Linked DNA regions of Lonchura striata. The protein of the gene in region 2 interacts with the protein of the main gene of each other region in a pairwise test. Links are inferred from orthologs where the notes say so. Each region holds a gene or a part of one and is shown on either strand. Other genes may lie near its edges.

Region 1 (7,307 bases), on a different chromosome or scaffold from region 2:
AAAATCTACCTACAGTGTCTTAGAGACACTGAAAGCTCTTTCACCAGGTTTGAAAATGCCATCAACCACCTCATTTTCATCTTCAAGCACCTTCAAAACACAGACCGTCATTGCTGTGGGTTGATCAAGCAGAATGTTCAATAACCAAATCTCAAAAGTTGGTAACTGAGTTCCCAGTCAGCATCATCCAGTCAGTGACTGCCTTTATAAAAATCAATTATTTCAGGCTGAAGCTCTCAAAATATGATGACAGCCAAAAATTAAAGTTTCAAAACATGTTTACTGTATCAAAGTAAATAGAGAAAGCTTAAATATTGCATTCTGTAAACTTAGTGAGAACCAAAAAGCTACACAAGATTAAAAAGATGTATTTATTTTGGGCTTCTCTTTGCAGTCATTTGCTTATGATATGCCTTTATACAGTTTTTATTGAAGACAACTAACTTCCTAACACTTGGGGATACAAGCAGCTGCCTTTTACTACTTTTCTGCCCTTTTTTAGAAACAGAACTATAGATAAAACTGACGGTAAAGGTTAAGAATGAAAAGCTTGCAGGTTACAGAACTGAAAGTCGCTACAGGATGCACCAAATTTACTTTGTTTCACTTAACAATAATGTATTCCTTCAGGTTTCCCTGTAACTCCCTCAAAGTATAACAACACAGGCAATAGGCCCCATGCTGAAAACAGCTTAAAATGTTACATTTGAGCACGGAAACAGCACTTCTGTACTCATGTAAACTAAATAACCTGCACATCTCCTGGTATTTCCAGCATCCTTGATATCCATTCCCTTGGAAAATCTGCCTTCCTCACCTGCAGCTCAAGGGCTGCAGCTCTCACAGGTCTCAGCTTTGCCATCAGTCCTGCACAGCTTCAAAGGACTGTGTGCAACCCCAAGCTCCACCAAATAAACCCAATAAATGCTCTCTCTTCTTACTCCTGGGTGCCCGAAATAATCTTTGAGAGCAGGTATCTGAAGGAGAAAAACAAATCTCCTTTAAAGTCCCCCTACAAACATCACTAATACATCATTCCTAATACATCCCTAGCAAGGGTCCCCAAACACAGAGAGTCTCTTGGGAGCACATGGTGACAGGAACGTGGCAGCAGCCCCTAATTCCAGCTCTGGCATTGTGGAATGCCAGCTCCAGCCACCTTAGCTTCCCCACACCCAAACCAGGCAGCTTCACGTTCTCTGTGGTGCTTCTCTCTTGTCTGCTCTCCCACAGAACTTCTTTTACAGAGCTTGATCCTTCACAGCCCCACACACCACAGCTGGCCTCCAAAGAGACAACAGAAATGCACAGCGTGCAAGAGAATTTGGGATAAAACAGCATAAAACCCCAATGAAATGCTGTGGCTGTAGATTATTTTACACGCTCAATTTCTACAAGCAGGGGTAAAAATCCAGGAATGGTCATGAGAAGCACAAACCCACAGAGGTCAGGAGGAGTAAAGCCTTTTTCCTTAATAAGCAGCTGTGGTTTACAGTAACCAGAGAGAGGTCTGTAGTTCCTGATGCTTCAAAGAGCTATTTACATATTCCTGGAGGATACAAAACATACATTATGAAGAGGGCAGAGTTTAACCTCATCCTCCTGCAAGACCGTTTACAGAGACAGTTAGCTGGAATTAATACTTAATTGGAACAAAACTCTTTCTTTCCTCCCTTACAGACTCAGCTGCAGCCTGCGTACTATCAGTCGCTCACATTTAATGAGCCCTTTTAATAAAAGAAAAGGTACTTTTAATATGAGCGTGTTAAAAAAAAGAAACATAATATTTTGAATGCTGAAGTTCCAGAATTTAAAAAAAAAAAATACACTTAAAGGCTGAATTTTGAAAAGAGATTAGAACACACTCTGCAGCTGACCCTTTCTACCTCACACACTAAGGAAATGCTATGAAATTCCAGCAAGCAAATTTACTTCCAAGGCAAGAAAACACACCCACTTGTTCCTTCACCGTTGTTTTTCAGGCACAAAAATCTTCCCAAAACTGTTATAATCGAGACACCGGAGTGACAGAAACCTCAGCAATTAAAAATGCAAAGAGATTCCCTTGCCTCCCCAAGCGCAAAATCCCCGATCTCGGGAAGGCGCCTCGGTGTTCCCGGTGTGCTCCGTTCCTCCCTTCCCCTCGCACACAGGTGTCGGCCAGGGCAGCGGAGGGGGATCGGGATGCGGGGATCCCGGGGCGAACAGCCCCGGCACGTCCCGGGACGCTCCGTGCGGCGCCAGCAGCCGCCGGCCGCGGGGCTGGCACCTGCCCGCGGGCGGGACCGAGCGGGGAATTCCCCAGCACCGCCATCCTCCTGGCGCTCACAGGGGCCGCCCCCATCCCGGAGCGGCCGGCCGAGACCCCGCTCGGGCAGGGGAAGCGCCACCGTCCCCTCCGTGAGGGCCGCCCGAGCCTCGCCACCCCTGAGGGCGACTCGCACCGGGCAGAGGGCACAGCCCGGCACGCCCCCGCCGCCGCGCCTGCCCTCCGCGGGACCCCGGCCCGGCTCTGACAGGGCTCCGGGCCCGCCCGCCCCGTCCCCGCGGTGCCGCCACACCGCCGGGCCAGCCCGCCCCGGGGCCGCTCCGTAACGGGGCCCCCGCCTCGCTCCCGGCTCCCGGCTCCGCAGCCCGGCACCGCCGCCGGGGGGTCCCGCCGCCGCCATCGCCCGGCCCGGGCCCCTCCCGGGACTCCCGCGGCCCCCGGGGGCGGCGGCTCCGCCGGGGCCGCGCTGCCCCTCACGCCCCCCGCCCGCCGCCCCTGGCGCTCACCGCGGCTCCGCGCGCCCCTCGCCGCGCCGCGCCCGGCCGAAGGGAGCGCGGGCGGGGGTCGCGGCCCCCCGGCAGCGCCGCACGCCCGGCGCAGGCAGCCCCCGTCCCTGACCTACTTTCCGCCTGGCTTGCCACCCGACGGCGCACCACTAACCTACTTTCCAGCCAATGGCACCCTCCCCCGGCCCCGCACCGGACGCGCCCGCCCGCCAACGGCAGAGCGGCTCCGCGCCCGCCTCGCCCAATGGGCGGCCGCCGAGCGGGCAACGCCCGCCCCCCCGAGCGCCGGCAAATCCCCGCGCGGCCCCGCGGCACCGGCCAATCGGAAGCGCGGCTCCGGGCTCTGGTCCCGCCCCTCGGCGGGGGGCGCCGCCGGGACCCGGATGTGGCGGTGGCGGCGGGGTCGGCGGGGTTCTCGGGGCGGGTGCGGCCGGGGCGGCGGGGAGGGCTCGGCTCGGCATCGCCCGCGCTGCTGCCCCCGGCGGCGCCGCCCGCGGTACCGCCCGCTGCCCGCCCCTCCGCCGGGGCTCGCCCGGGCCGCTGCGTCACCGCCGCGTGACGTCAGCCGCGGCCGTGACGTCACGCGCCGAGGTGTGAAGGTCATGGCGGCGCTGCCCCGGCGTGGCCGCCCTGCCCGCGCCTCGTCTCCTTCCGTCCCTCGGCGGCGGGGCCCGGGCGCAGCCCCGCACACCGCCCCGGGGCCTCGGGGAGCCCGTGCGGTGCTGGCACCTCCCGTCCGCTGAGAGTCCGCTTCTCTGCGCCGCGCTCACCGGCCCTTTGCCCGCCACCCGCCCTGCCAGAGGGCCGCTACCGTGTCCCTCAGCCCCCGTGTCCTTCAGCCCCCGTGTCCTTCAGTCCCCTGTCCCTCAGCCCCCTGTCCCTCAGCCCCCGTGTCCTTCAGCCCCCGTGTCCTTCAGCCCCCCTGTCCCTCAGCCCCCTGTCCCTCAGCTCCCGTGTTCATCAGCCCCCGTGTTCATTGGCCCCCGTGTCCTTCAGCCCCCATATCCTTCAGTCCCCTGTCCTTCAGCCCCCGTGTCCCTCAGCCCCCCTGTCCCTCAGCCCCCGTGTCCTTCAGCCCCCGTGTCCTTCAGCCCCCGTGTCCTTCAGCCCCTGTCCCTCAGCCCCCGTGTCCTCCAGCTGCTGAGTGCCATGCCTGTCCCTGCCACTGATGCTCCGGGTGCGATGTATGTCCTGGTCACTGATGCTGCGTCGCCTCTGGAGCTGCTCACAGCCTGTTCCATTCTGCGTGTGCACCAGGCCAGAGGTGCAATGTGGTAGAGCCATCCACTGCGCCATGTTCTGGTCTAAATTTAGACAGTCCACGCAGCAGCGTAGAGGGGATGTGTTGCAAGAACATAATCACAGCGGAGCTGCTTTCAAATGCATACATTTGCTAAATGGGATTGCGTGAGCGCTGCATCAGATTATCATTGCCACATCCTAATTGTGTTAACATTTCCTGTCCTGTGATGCCACGTCCCAGAGGTTTGGTTTACGTTTCCCAGGGTAACATCACCGGGGAAGTGTGGGTTGCAGCGGGGTTGGGGCACGGCGTGGGTTTGGTTGTCCCAATCCTCCATCGCTCAGCCCGGGACAGCATTAACAGCTCCTTTACTCCTAATTGAGTGGGGACTAAACACTGGCAGCAAGTGGCCCCTGCTGGATGCAAACTCTCTGTTCACATCAGGGTACTCCTATTCGGCAGAAACCCTCCAGAAGAGCGAGTTAAATGAAACACTACATCAGTAGGACGGAAATGTATACTGTGAACAGAGAGGAGAAGATGCATCTTCTTATTTCCAGCAAAATGGTGCTGCTTTGCTTTGTTTTAGTGCACAGAAGTTATGGAGGTGGAGAAGTCTCCTTGACTACTTCTTTCAACTCGGCCTTTGTAGTTTTGCTCATTGTTTCTACCCATCTGTAGAAATAATCTTCCTTATGGAGTCAATCGCGTAGTGTCTGTTTTAATGAGCCCAGTGCCTGCTGTAGGGAATGATGCCAAGAGTAATGATCTTTTGCTATTTCTGTAGGAGAGCAGCTTAGCAGGCCATATGTCAGATTTCCCAGTGAGAGATTGTTTGGAGTTGTTTTTACACCGTAGTTTCTATTCATGAGATATTAAAGAAAATAATAGCATCTGGTTAATCAAATTCCGAATTTCACCATATGATGATGTATATCAGTCTAGTTCTGTGACTTTCTTTGAAATAGATTGTCAGGTCAGTGCAGGCATTCTATCTGTAGGTGAATCAGGCATCTTATACCTTGAAATTCTAAAAATGAGGAGCTAAGAATTTGAAATTTGACAAGACCTGAGTTCAGCTCCTGACACCAAAAAAGTTTGCACCACTCTTCTACCACACGTTTCAGGAGACAAAAGGCAAACAGGAGAGGTGAGGCTTGACCAAAGGTGGAGCATTTTCTCCTTGCAAGGTACTTGAGGGAGCACATGAAGTAGAGCACCCCACAAATCGTGGGAGCTGCTGGGCAGACCAGCTCAGCTGTGTGCTCAGCTCAGGGCACTGTGCACTGGTGTGTCTGATACAAGATCAGAAGCATTTCCTCATCTAGACAACTCTCACATGATTAATTTTCAGATTTTATGCTTTTTCTTTCTAAGAATGCAGTAAATTAGATCTTAGGCAGAACGTTAACTGCCTCCTTAGCTATGTTAATATGTTAATGGTTACATCATGTTTAAACACCAACATTTACACTCATGATTGGCTTACAATGACAATTTAAAAGCAGAAAGAGGGTGTGCTATGTGGCAATTGTACTGAAAATTGTTGTTTATTAATAGAATAGTGGAAAAAGTAGCTCATGTTCCAACTGATTACTGTATTCACATTTGAATGCTACAATAAAACTTTGCAGGTCTTAGGATTTTGACTTTGTGTCAAGAAGAGTGGCAGATACGATCGCCATTAAATGCAGCCTACCTAAGGTATGATAAGGCCATATCAGCAGTTTCACTTTAGAATCTGCAAGTGTTTAAATCTATAACTATTTCCCTGCAGAAAAAGGAATCTGGTTTCTCAACTGATAACCCAAAAACCGATAGTTTCTTTTCTGTTTGGATTTATTTTTTTGGGCAGGGGTTACCTTCAAGCAGTCTTGATATATCTCTGGAACACCTACAGATGTTCAGAAGTAACCAGCCAAATTAGTTCTTTGATGTATTAACTTTGTATTCTCTCAACCATGCTTCATGACCCCAGTACATGACACAGAGGACACAGATCTCTGAGTCTTTGGAGGGTGAAATTTTGTGAAATGGTTTGGAGATAGAAGAATTATATGTGTTTATTTTTTTAATGTTTTCCAAAACATGTGCAAGATAGGATATCTATTTTAGCACCTAGCTATGGATCCCACTGCTTTAGAGCATTTTAAGCAGATGCTGTTTGTTCATAGGTTTCCAGCCATGGAAATACTGATTAATACTGATTAATTAACCTGTCTTACTCTTTTATCCAACCTTTCTCCATTTCTCTCTAGACATATAAGCTATGATCTTACCTACAGCAGGGCAAGTCAAAGCTCAGAGAAAATTATGGAGACTGAATTTGAATCTCTGGATTTCTTGTTCTGTCTGTACATTAAAAACCCCAGAGATTACTGAGCCCTATTTCTCACCCTGTTACACAGAGTTGGTGCCTTGCTTCAACCCAATTATGAGGGCAGAAAAAACTGCAAACAGTGGCTTGGATTGTTTGCAAACTGATGCAAAAAATCACACAGTGGTGACCTGTTGACTGTAGTCTGTCACAGCTCTTGTGTGGCTGGCTCAGACCTCTTCAAAATAAAGGTTTTATCAAAATAAGCTGTTGCAGACTCATTCTTTTCCCAGTTCATCAAAATGTTGAGTTAATACAAAATCTAAGCCAGGGGAAAATTGGGTTTTCCTGCTTTTGCTTGTATAAACACTTGCTGCTTTAAAGGGTGTCCCTCCTACCACAATGTTTCCACATTTGAGCATTAATTTCTTAAATATACAGCAATAAATGTTGACTTTTTAATGTGCCTGCTTCCTTCTGAGGTTTTTAAAATCCATTCTTCTTCCTCCTGGCCTTTATCATAATTTAAAGGACTAAAAGCTTGTTTCAGGCAAAAGGAGAAGATTCTAATCCAGCCCATTGATTTCAGCCCTGTGGTCTCTGAGAACACAAATTAATATTCAAAGACTCAGTGGGAATTCCCAGGAATTGGCAATGCACTGCCTGGAGCATAGCAGGAACAGGAAGAAGAATCTGAGGAGGTAAATCAGGCTAAAGCCAGGGAATTAAGAAATTCTAAGTACTTCTTTGCAATATATTTTTGATCTCTACAGAAGGTTCAGGACAAAGAATTTCTATCTCTACCTGGATTTGACCTCAATGAAGGTTAAAGCACTTTAGAGTTTTTACTTAATTAAAAATATATGGAATTGAGTGTGTATTTCAGGGTCTGGAAGTCTGAACTCGAACAAGACATGGTAAGCTGTAAATATCTTAAGAAAATTTTAGTGAATATAATATTTTAATTTGAAA
Region 2 (7,134 bases):
TGATCCTTCTGCAAAATCTGCAATTCAAGTGCATCTCCCTTAAGAGCCTAGACACAAAACTAAAAACACAAATGGAAGTTACCTAAGTTCATCTAACACAGAAAGAAAAGCAATTAAATGCACATAAAATGTGTATTTGGCTGTTATTTTTAACTGTGTGACATTTACCAATCCAGGGAAGAGACAAATAAGCAGAGGCAGGGGCTGAAACACAGAGCAGGCAGTGTGGGGAGGAAAATGATGAAAAAGCAGTAGTACCATGTCCTGGTTATTGAAAGAATGGAAACCACTGTGTTTCCGGATGTTCAGGTCTCCTGTCCCTGTACACAAGTGTCAAGTTCCTCCTTTCCACCATTCCTTCTCTTGGCGTGGGTTTACCACCTGTATCTACAGTTCCCTGCACCTTGTTCCCAAGATTTGTCATCCATGATCCCACAAATCCTTTGTCTCTATTCTCTTGTCTTCAGTTTCTCCATGTATCCATCACCAGTACTTCTCAAAAGTGGGACAGTTCTAGTACCACAATTTCTTGTCACCATTCAAGTGAATTAAACAGTCTCCTGCTTCACTCTTCCACTGCATCACCAGGCACACCCTGCCACTGAAGGCACAGTTGAGAAAGTCTTCTATTCTCCTTCCTGAACTCACTGTAGAAGCAACACCTTGGAAGAGTAATTGGGGGAAAAGTCCATTCAGCCCATCAGCCACCAACTGGAATGCTCTCATCCTTCCCAGGAAGAGGAGCAGTTGCTCAGCTCCTAACAGTGCTGGGATGTTCAGCATGCCTTGTGCTGAGAACATCTTCAAGCAAGTGCAACAGTCAAGCCCTCAACAAGTCCTCTCCCAAGAGCACATGCCTGGAGCATTGTGATAAAATTATACTGGAAAGAAATTCTGGAAGATTCTCAGAGGATCAACAAAATGCGCACCCCCATCACAAGATGATCCCAAGCAAAATATCTTTTCCTTGATCCAAAACATGATGCCACAAGAATTTAAATCTGAAGGAAAGTGTTTCTTAGCACAGTGAAAGAAATTCAGATTCCCAGATCAAGGTCTCCTAATGCAGGATGTATACCTAAACCATTTTCATCAAATACGTGGTCAAAGAACAAGTTTTTGTCTTACCACGTTCTCAGAAATAACCAAACCATTTAATTTGAAACTTCCCAAAGACAGTCTGCCTTCAGAAGGCACTCATCCTGGAAAATACCAGCCTAAGCTCAAGCTTAGGAAATGCATAACCACCTGACAGCAGATCATTGTACTAGAAAGCACTAGCTAATTTTAACTGTAGACAACATTGCTGCCTATGAAAAAAGAAACAACTCCTTCAAGGGCTCTTGCATGCTTCAGTGTAGAGATTTGGGAAAAAAAAAATCATAATTCTGTGGATTCAACCTTGCTAATGTGCAGGAAGGCACCTTTATTTATGAAGGAGAACTAATTTAGGAAAGCTCACTGAAGACCCAGGCTTTGGAGCACACAAGTGCTGCCAGCTTGAGGAATCACCCTGATGTCACATACCTAGTTCTAGAAAACCTTCATTTTCACATCTTCAGTGAATGTGCAGTTTGGTAATCACATTCTCCAAATACTCCTGGGCATCTCTGCAGAGCAACCCTGTGTTCTTATTCATCTACTGAAATGTATGCAGTATTGGGCCCTCCACCAGCTCTCAGAATCAGATGTGCATCAGTGGATGAGCTGGCTATGTCTGGACACTGTGAACTCTAATTATTTAGTACCACCAAACAAATTAAACCCACAGTTTAGTGCATTAACATCTCACACTGGGATAAATTAGATAATTTTCCACTTCAAGAGGCAACCACTTGTTGAACTGAATGCTCAGGTTGCCTGCGCCCATCCGAGAGATCCCTACAGCCCTTCTGGAGGTTTAGCGCCATGAAAAAATCCAAGTTCCTCTGCTGGCTGTAACGCTTATAACCGCTAATTATTTCTGAGTCACTTGAGTGAAAGTAAGCTGCCATCCTGTAGACAGCTAAGGAGTAGGGAGCAAAGTTTCTGGATGAGCGTGCTTGTTAATTGACAAATCAAGGTAGTGACCACAGAGGAAAACACCACGGCACAACCCCGTGTGAATCCGGTGGTGCCGTTCAGCCGTGTATTTAAGGTTTACCCCGTGCCACACACGGATGCAAACACGCGGGAAGGGAGTTCTGCGCAGGGCTGCTGCAGCAGCAGGGCTCTCCCAGCGCACGGCACAACCTCTGCTCCCCCCAGGAGCTTTCACCCATTCCAAATCCCCACTGCTCCTACTGGAAGTTTTCCTTGAGCAAACACCCGCCCGGTCGCATCGCAGACCCTGTTGCTGTCTGGCTTATAGGAACCCCCAAAGTCAGGAAATGTCCAACCACACCAAAACGAGATGGCGAGGAGGACTGCTTAGGGGGCAACTTATTTTCCAAACGGAGGGGCTCGCCCGGCCGGACCTCGCCAGCCCGGCCGGGACAGACACGCCGCACATAAGCGTGCTCCCCACGGAAACTTTCCCGCGGCAGAGCCATGCCACCCCGCACCACCGGGCGCGTCCGTGACCCCCACAGAGCGGGGGGCACCGCGGAGCTGACCCCGGCCGCCGCCGCGGGGGTCACGCTGGCCGACCATCCCGCGTGGGTGTCCCCGGCGGGCGCCCCCCGGGCGGGTGTCGCGAGTGGGCGCCCCCCGGGACGGAGGCAGGGGTCGGGGCCGCACGGCCGCGCGTTACCTGGGGTGCCGGTGCTGCGGGAGCGCGGCGGGGAAGCCCCAGCCGCCGCCGCCGCCGCTGCTGCTGCTGTCCGCGGTGGCCACCTGGGCGCGGGAACCGCCGCCGGTGCTGGTGCCGCCGAGCTGGATGCCGCCGCTTTTCCGGTGCCTCCCGGTGCCGTTGCGGCAGCGGCCGCCGCTGCTCCAGCCGCGCAGGAGGCCGGCCTCGGGAGCCGGCAAACTCTTCCTCGCCGACGAGGAGCCGGGGACGCTGCCCGCCTCCTGCCTGCCGCCGGTGCCGGTGCCCTGTCTCATGGTGCGCGGGGCCGCCGCATGCCGCTCTGCCGCCGCCCCGGGCGCCGCGGGACCCACGCGCGCCGGGGCCGGGGGCTCCGCCGGCACCGGGAGGCCGCCGGGAGCCCGGGCTGCTGCGGGGGAGTGCGGAGGCCGGAGGCCGGGGGGGCTGCTGGCTGGGGCTCCTGCTGGGGCATTAAGTTGGACGCGCGGCCTGGAGAGGCAGGGCGGGCGCGGGGGCTGCGGGGCCGATAGTTCTCCGCGAAGTTGGAGCCCGGCGGGCGAGGCGGGGGCATCCTCTCCGCCGGCCCTTCATCGCCGCCCGCCGCCGCCTCCCCTCGCCTGCCCCCGCCGCGGGGCCGCCGCCCCGCGCCCTCAGCGGGCGGCGCTGCGGGGGCGCGCCCCGCGCCCCGCGCCCATGGGCGCAGCCGCGGCGCCGGCGGCAGAGGATCTCCCGTGCCGCTTTCCTCCGCCGCTCGTAGCCTTCTCCGGCAGGGAGCGGGGGGAGCTGGGGGGAGTGGGGGCCAGGGGGAGCCCGAACGCGCGGTTGTTGCTCAAAATGGGTCAGGGAGGGGGAAAGGGACCCCGGCGCTAGGCGCCCCCCTACCCGCGGTGGGCGCCGGGAGGGCCGGGCTGGGGCGGTGGGTAGCGAGAGGGCTGCGGAGGAGCTCTCCCGCCCCAGCTCCTGTGCACAAGTGCAGGGAATGTTCCACTGACCTACATATTTTTCCAAACATACGTGACCTTTTTTTTTTTCTCTCTCTCTCTCTCGTTCTGTGGGAGGAGACAGGCGAGGATCCAAGAAAAGGAGAAGCTGGAAAGAGAACGAAAGGGGAAGCAGGGGAAAAAAAATCCTCAACCAAAGAGCCAGCCCCGCATCAAGGATGGTTTCACACCGCCGCCGCGAGCGAACCCCGGCGTGCCCACGTTTACATATGTCTGTAGCGATATCCCCGCTGCGCACCGGCGGACGCCTCGGTAGCCTGACCCCGGGAGCCCCCGGCGGCACCGCCGGCCCCGCTGGCCGGACTGCGCCCGGTGCCCGGCCCTGGCTGCCGGGGCGATCGGCGGGACCCTGCGCGGCTCCGCCCGGCGGGCTCGGGACACGCTCCCAGCTCGGCCTCCGCGCCGAGGGGGGTCCTGCGCCCTGTCCGTGCCCGCTGTCCCGGCGGTGCTGGCAGCGGGAACCGGGCCGGAGCGGGGCACGGCACCGCGCTGCCCGGGGCAGGCTCACGGCCTCGCCGGGCACAGACAGGAGCTCCCGATCTGGTTATGCAACGGCGCACAGGCAATTGGAGCAAAACCTTGACAGAGAGCGCTTTTTTTTTTTTTTTTTTTCTTGTTTCAAAGTAGGTCATTCTTTTTATTCCCTATTTTGCCTTTTTTTTTTTTTTTCTTTAATACTCTTCCTGCAAAGTGACCAGTAAGAGAGAAGGCGGTGTGGTGTGTTGGAGCGCGATAGGAGCTAGCGATCGGAGCCTTGCTCTTGCCTGGACGGGCACTCCTGCCGGCTTCTGGAGTTGCCCTTCTTTCCGGAGTTGCCCTTCTTTCCCCAGGAAGGCACAAGTGGCCGGGGAGCGGGGGCACGGCTCAGGCAGAGCCCGCCGCCTCCCCGCCGTTCCCGGCCGCGCTCCCCGAGCCTCCCCCGGCTCAGCCCCGGGCGCCGCGTCCCCCGGGCCCCGCCGGCTATTGCCCCCTGTCTGCTGTCGCCCTCGCACTGGCTTTGTACCCGGGGCTTGTTGGCGCTGCTGGCGGACACCTTTCACCGGCAGAAGGTGTTTTCCCCGGATATACAGTATTTGCTTTCAGGAGAGTTGTATTTTTTCTGTTCAGAGGAGTTTGCTGGGGAGGGAAAGCCCCCGTATCGAGGTGCAAGCTGTGTCCCTAGCAAAAGGCCTGACTGCACAGCCATGCCTCTTTCCATAGTTTGTGTGGTGGGGCAGGTGTTGTTTCCCCGTGCCCCCCCATGCCTCCTTCGGTAAAGACACGTTAATCCTTGCAAAATATCCACCAGCAGAAAACACTGCCTGCTCCGGGTATGCGTGTGTGGGTGCAGCATGTGGACTGATGGTTGCTCCAGCTACCTGTCTCCTGCAGGGAGCTGTGCTGCTTCTCCCACTACCTTCACCACCCAGCTCACCCAGTTATCCCGCTGTGATGTTCACCTCCTGCCATACACCTTATCCAGCCAGTTATTTGATCCAATTCAATCCCCAATGCAAATATGAGTAATTACAAAGTATGGAAAAATGTTGTGCTCCTTTGCTGAGCACTTTTACACCATTCTTTATACAACGGGCATGACTAATGTCGAAAGGGTAACGTTGTTTACTTTTAACGAAGATTAAATACAAAACTTCAAAAAGCTCCTCCCTTCCTTTGGATGAAAGCCAGCATTTTTTCCCATTTGGAAATTGTCAAACAGTGGTTAAACAATCCTTTGGCAAACAAGTAGTGCCTGAGGGAATAAAGCATCAGATACATGGGGAGTGGAATAAAAGACATTTCTGTTCCTGAGGTACTTTTCTTGTGTTGCACAATGAAGTATAACATAAAATCTTCAAGCCTTGTAAGGTTAGAGAAAAGGAACTTCCCATGATTATATACACTACATGATTTGATATTCCAGTCCTTTTGAAAACCTACCAAAATCCTTTCTCCAGACCAACACTGTGCTTTCAGAAGCTGGGAAACCAAGTACCTTAAGGAAAATACCAGGTTGAGAAATGCAATCAGAGACACACAGGGGCTCATGTACAAAATTACATCTCTATCGTACTGTGTTTTTACATCTTCCCTGTGAATTTCTAAGGACACCGTTGCACAAGTGAACAAGTGAGACTGGTTGAGGTTTGTTTCTTAATTCATTCCCTAGGTTACCAGAGTAAACTTTAATTAGGGCAACAAAGAGCAGAGCGGCTGAGGGTGAGGCAGGCTTTTCCCAGCTCATACCTGAATCCCGTTGTGAAATACCAGCCATTCAAAACACAAAGCCTTTCTCCCCATCCAGTGACACATGGAAAATAACCAAATGCTGTCAATCCCATGTTTGGGTTGGAAATTAACCAAAGGGTTATGCTAGATGCTACACGTAAGAACTTTAGGCAAGGAGCCCAACGTTCAATTTTAAAGAATGAAATCTTTTAATAATAATGAAGTATTAGTAAGCAGCTTTTCAGACACCAGGAGCCTGTGATTCAAAGACGCAATCCCTTTTGTTTCGACTAGAATAGGCTGGCCAACCTTCACAGCCCAAAACAAGGCAACAGGGTTTTCAATAGGCTGTGAACCACAGGCTAGGTGTCTCCCAGGGAGGAAGACCAAGGGGAAGAGCCTGAGAGGACAGCAGCACCCCAGGGATCCGGCTGCTCCATTGTGGCAAGACCATGGGAGGGATTTGGTGTTGGGTGTGAGTTCAACCCAGACACACTGTGTTTAACTCTGTTGATTTCTCTTGCTGCCAGGAGTTAAATTTATGAGGTGCTGCCACTGCAAGGCACAAGAGCTACTTTGGACATCGCTTGGCTCCAGAGTCAGAGCCTGGCCACCACAATCTGGAAGCAGAGGTGTCCCAAGTACCTAAAGGGGGCCTACACGAGAGCAGAGTCACTTTGCAAGAGCATGTAGTGATAGGACAAGGGATAAAGGCTTTAAAATGAAAGAGGACAGGTTTAGATGAGATATTAGGTGATTTTTTTTTTTTTTTTTTTTTACTATGTTGGTGGTGAGGCACTAAAACATGTTGCCCAGAGAAGTTGTGGGTGCCCCTCCCTCACAGTGATCAAGGCCAGGTAGGATGGAGCTTTCAGCAACTTTGTCTAATGGAAGATGCCCACAGCAGGATGATCTTTAATGTACTTTGAAACCCAGAAGGTTCTGTGATGATTCTCTGATTGGCTGTGCTACATAAAGGCTTTTAATTTTCAGCAGACACCAGTAGATATTGTGGGGAAAAAGATGTCATTTGCAGCCCATAATTGAAATGTGAAGCCTACATTCAGATTAGTGTTTGTGTAGAGGTAAATAGGATTCTCCCAAATAATCATCCTCTAATCAACATAAATGGCAACAGTGGTGCAAAAGTCAGAGATGGCACTGCATGGTAGAAAAAAAATAAAGGACATACAAAAA

The links. The genes of interacting proteins can lie anywhere in the genome.
Region 1: the proteins of NPAS2 (region 2) and BMAL1 interact in binary tests that used the Homo sapiens proteins (3 or more experiments, as listed by UniProt). The link is inferred for Lonchura striata from reciprocal best matches to the Homo sapiens genes NPAS2 and BMAL1.

What each region holds. Positions count from the first base shown.
Region 1 is NC_134608.1:58,750,177-58,757,483, reverse strand, and holds the start of BMAL1 (basic helix-loop-helix ARNT-like protein 1), read right to left. Parts: upstream 3,008-7,307; 5' UTR 2,930-3,007; exon of another isoform or gene 2,888-2,929; intron 2,842-2,887; exon of another isoform or gene 2,776-2,841; intron 1-2,775. UniProt on the Homo sapiens protein: Transcriptional activator which forms a core component of the circadian clock.
Region 2 is NC_134604.1:87,286,326-87,293,459, reverse strand, and holds the start of NPAS2 (neuronal PAS domain-containing protein 2), read right to left. Parts: upstream 3,028-7,134; 5' UTR 3,025-3,027; coding exon 2,732-3,024; intron 1-2,731. UniProt on the Homo sapiens protein: Transcriptional activator which forms a core component of the circadian clock.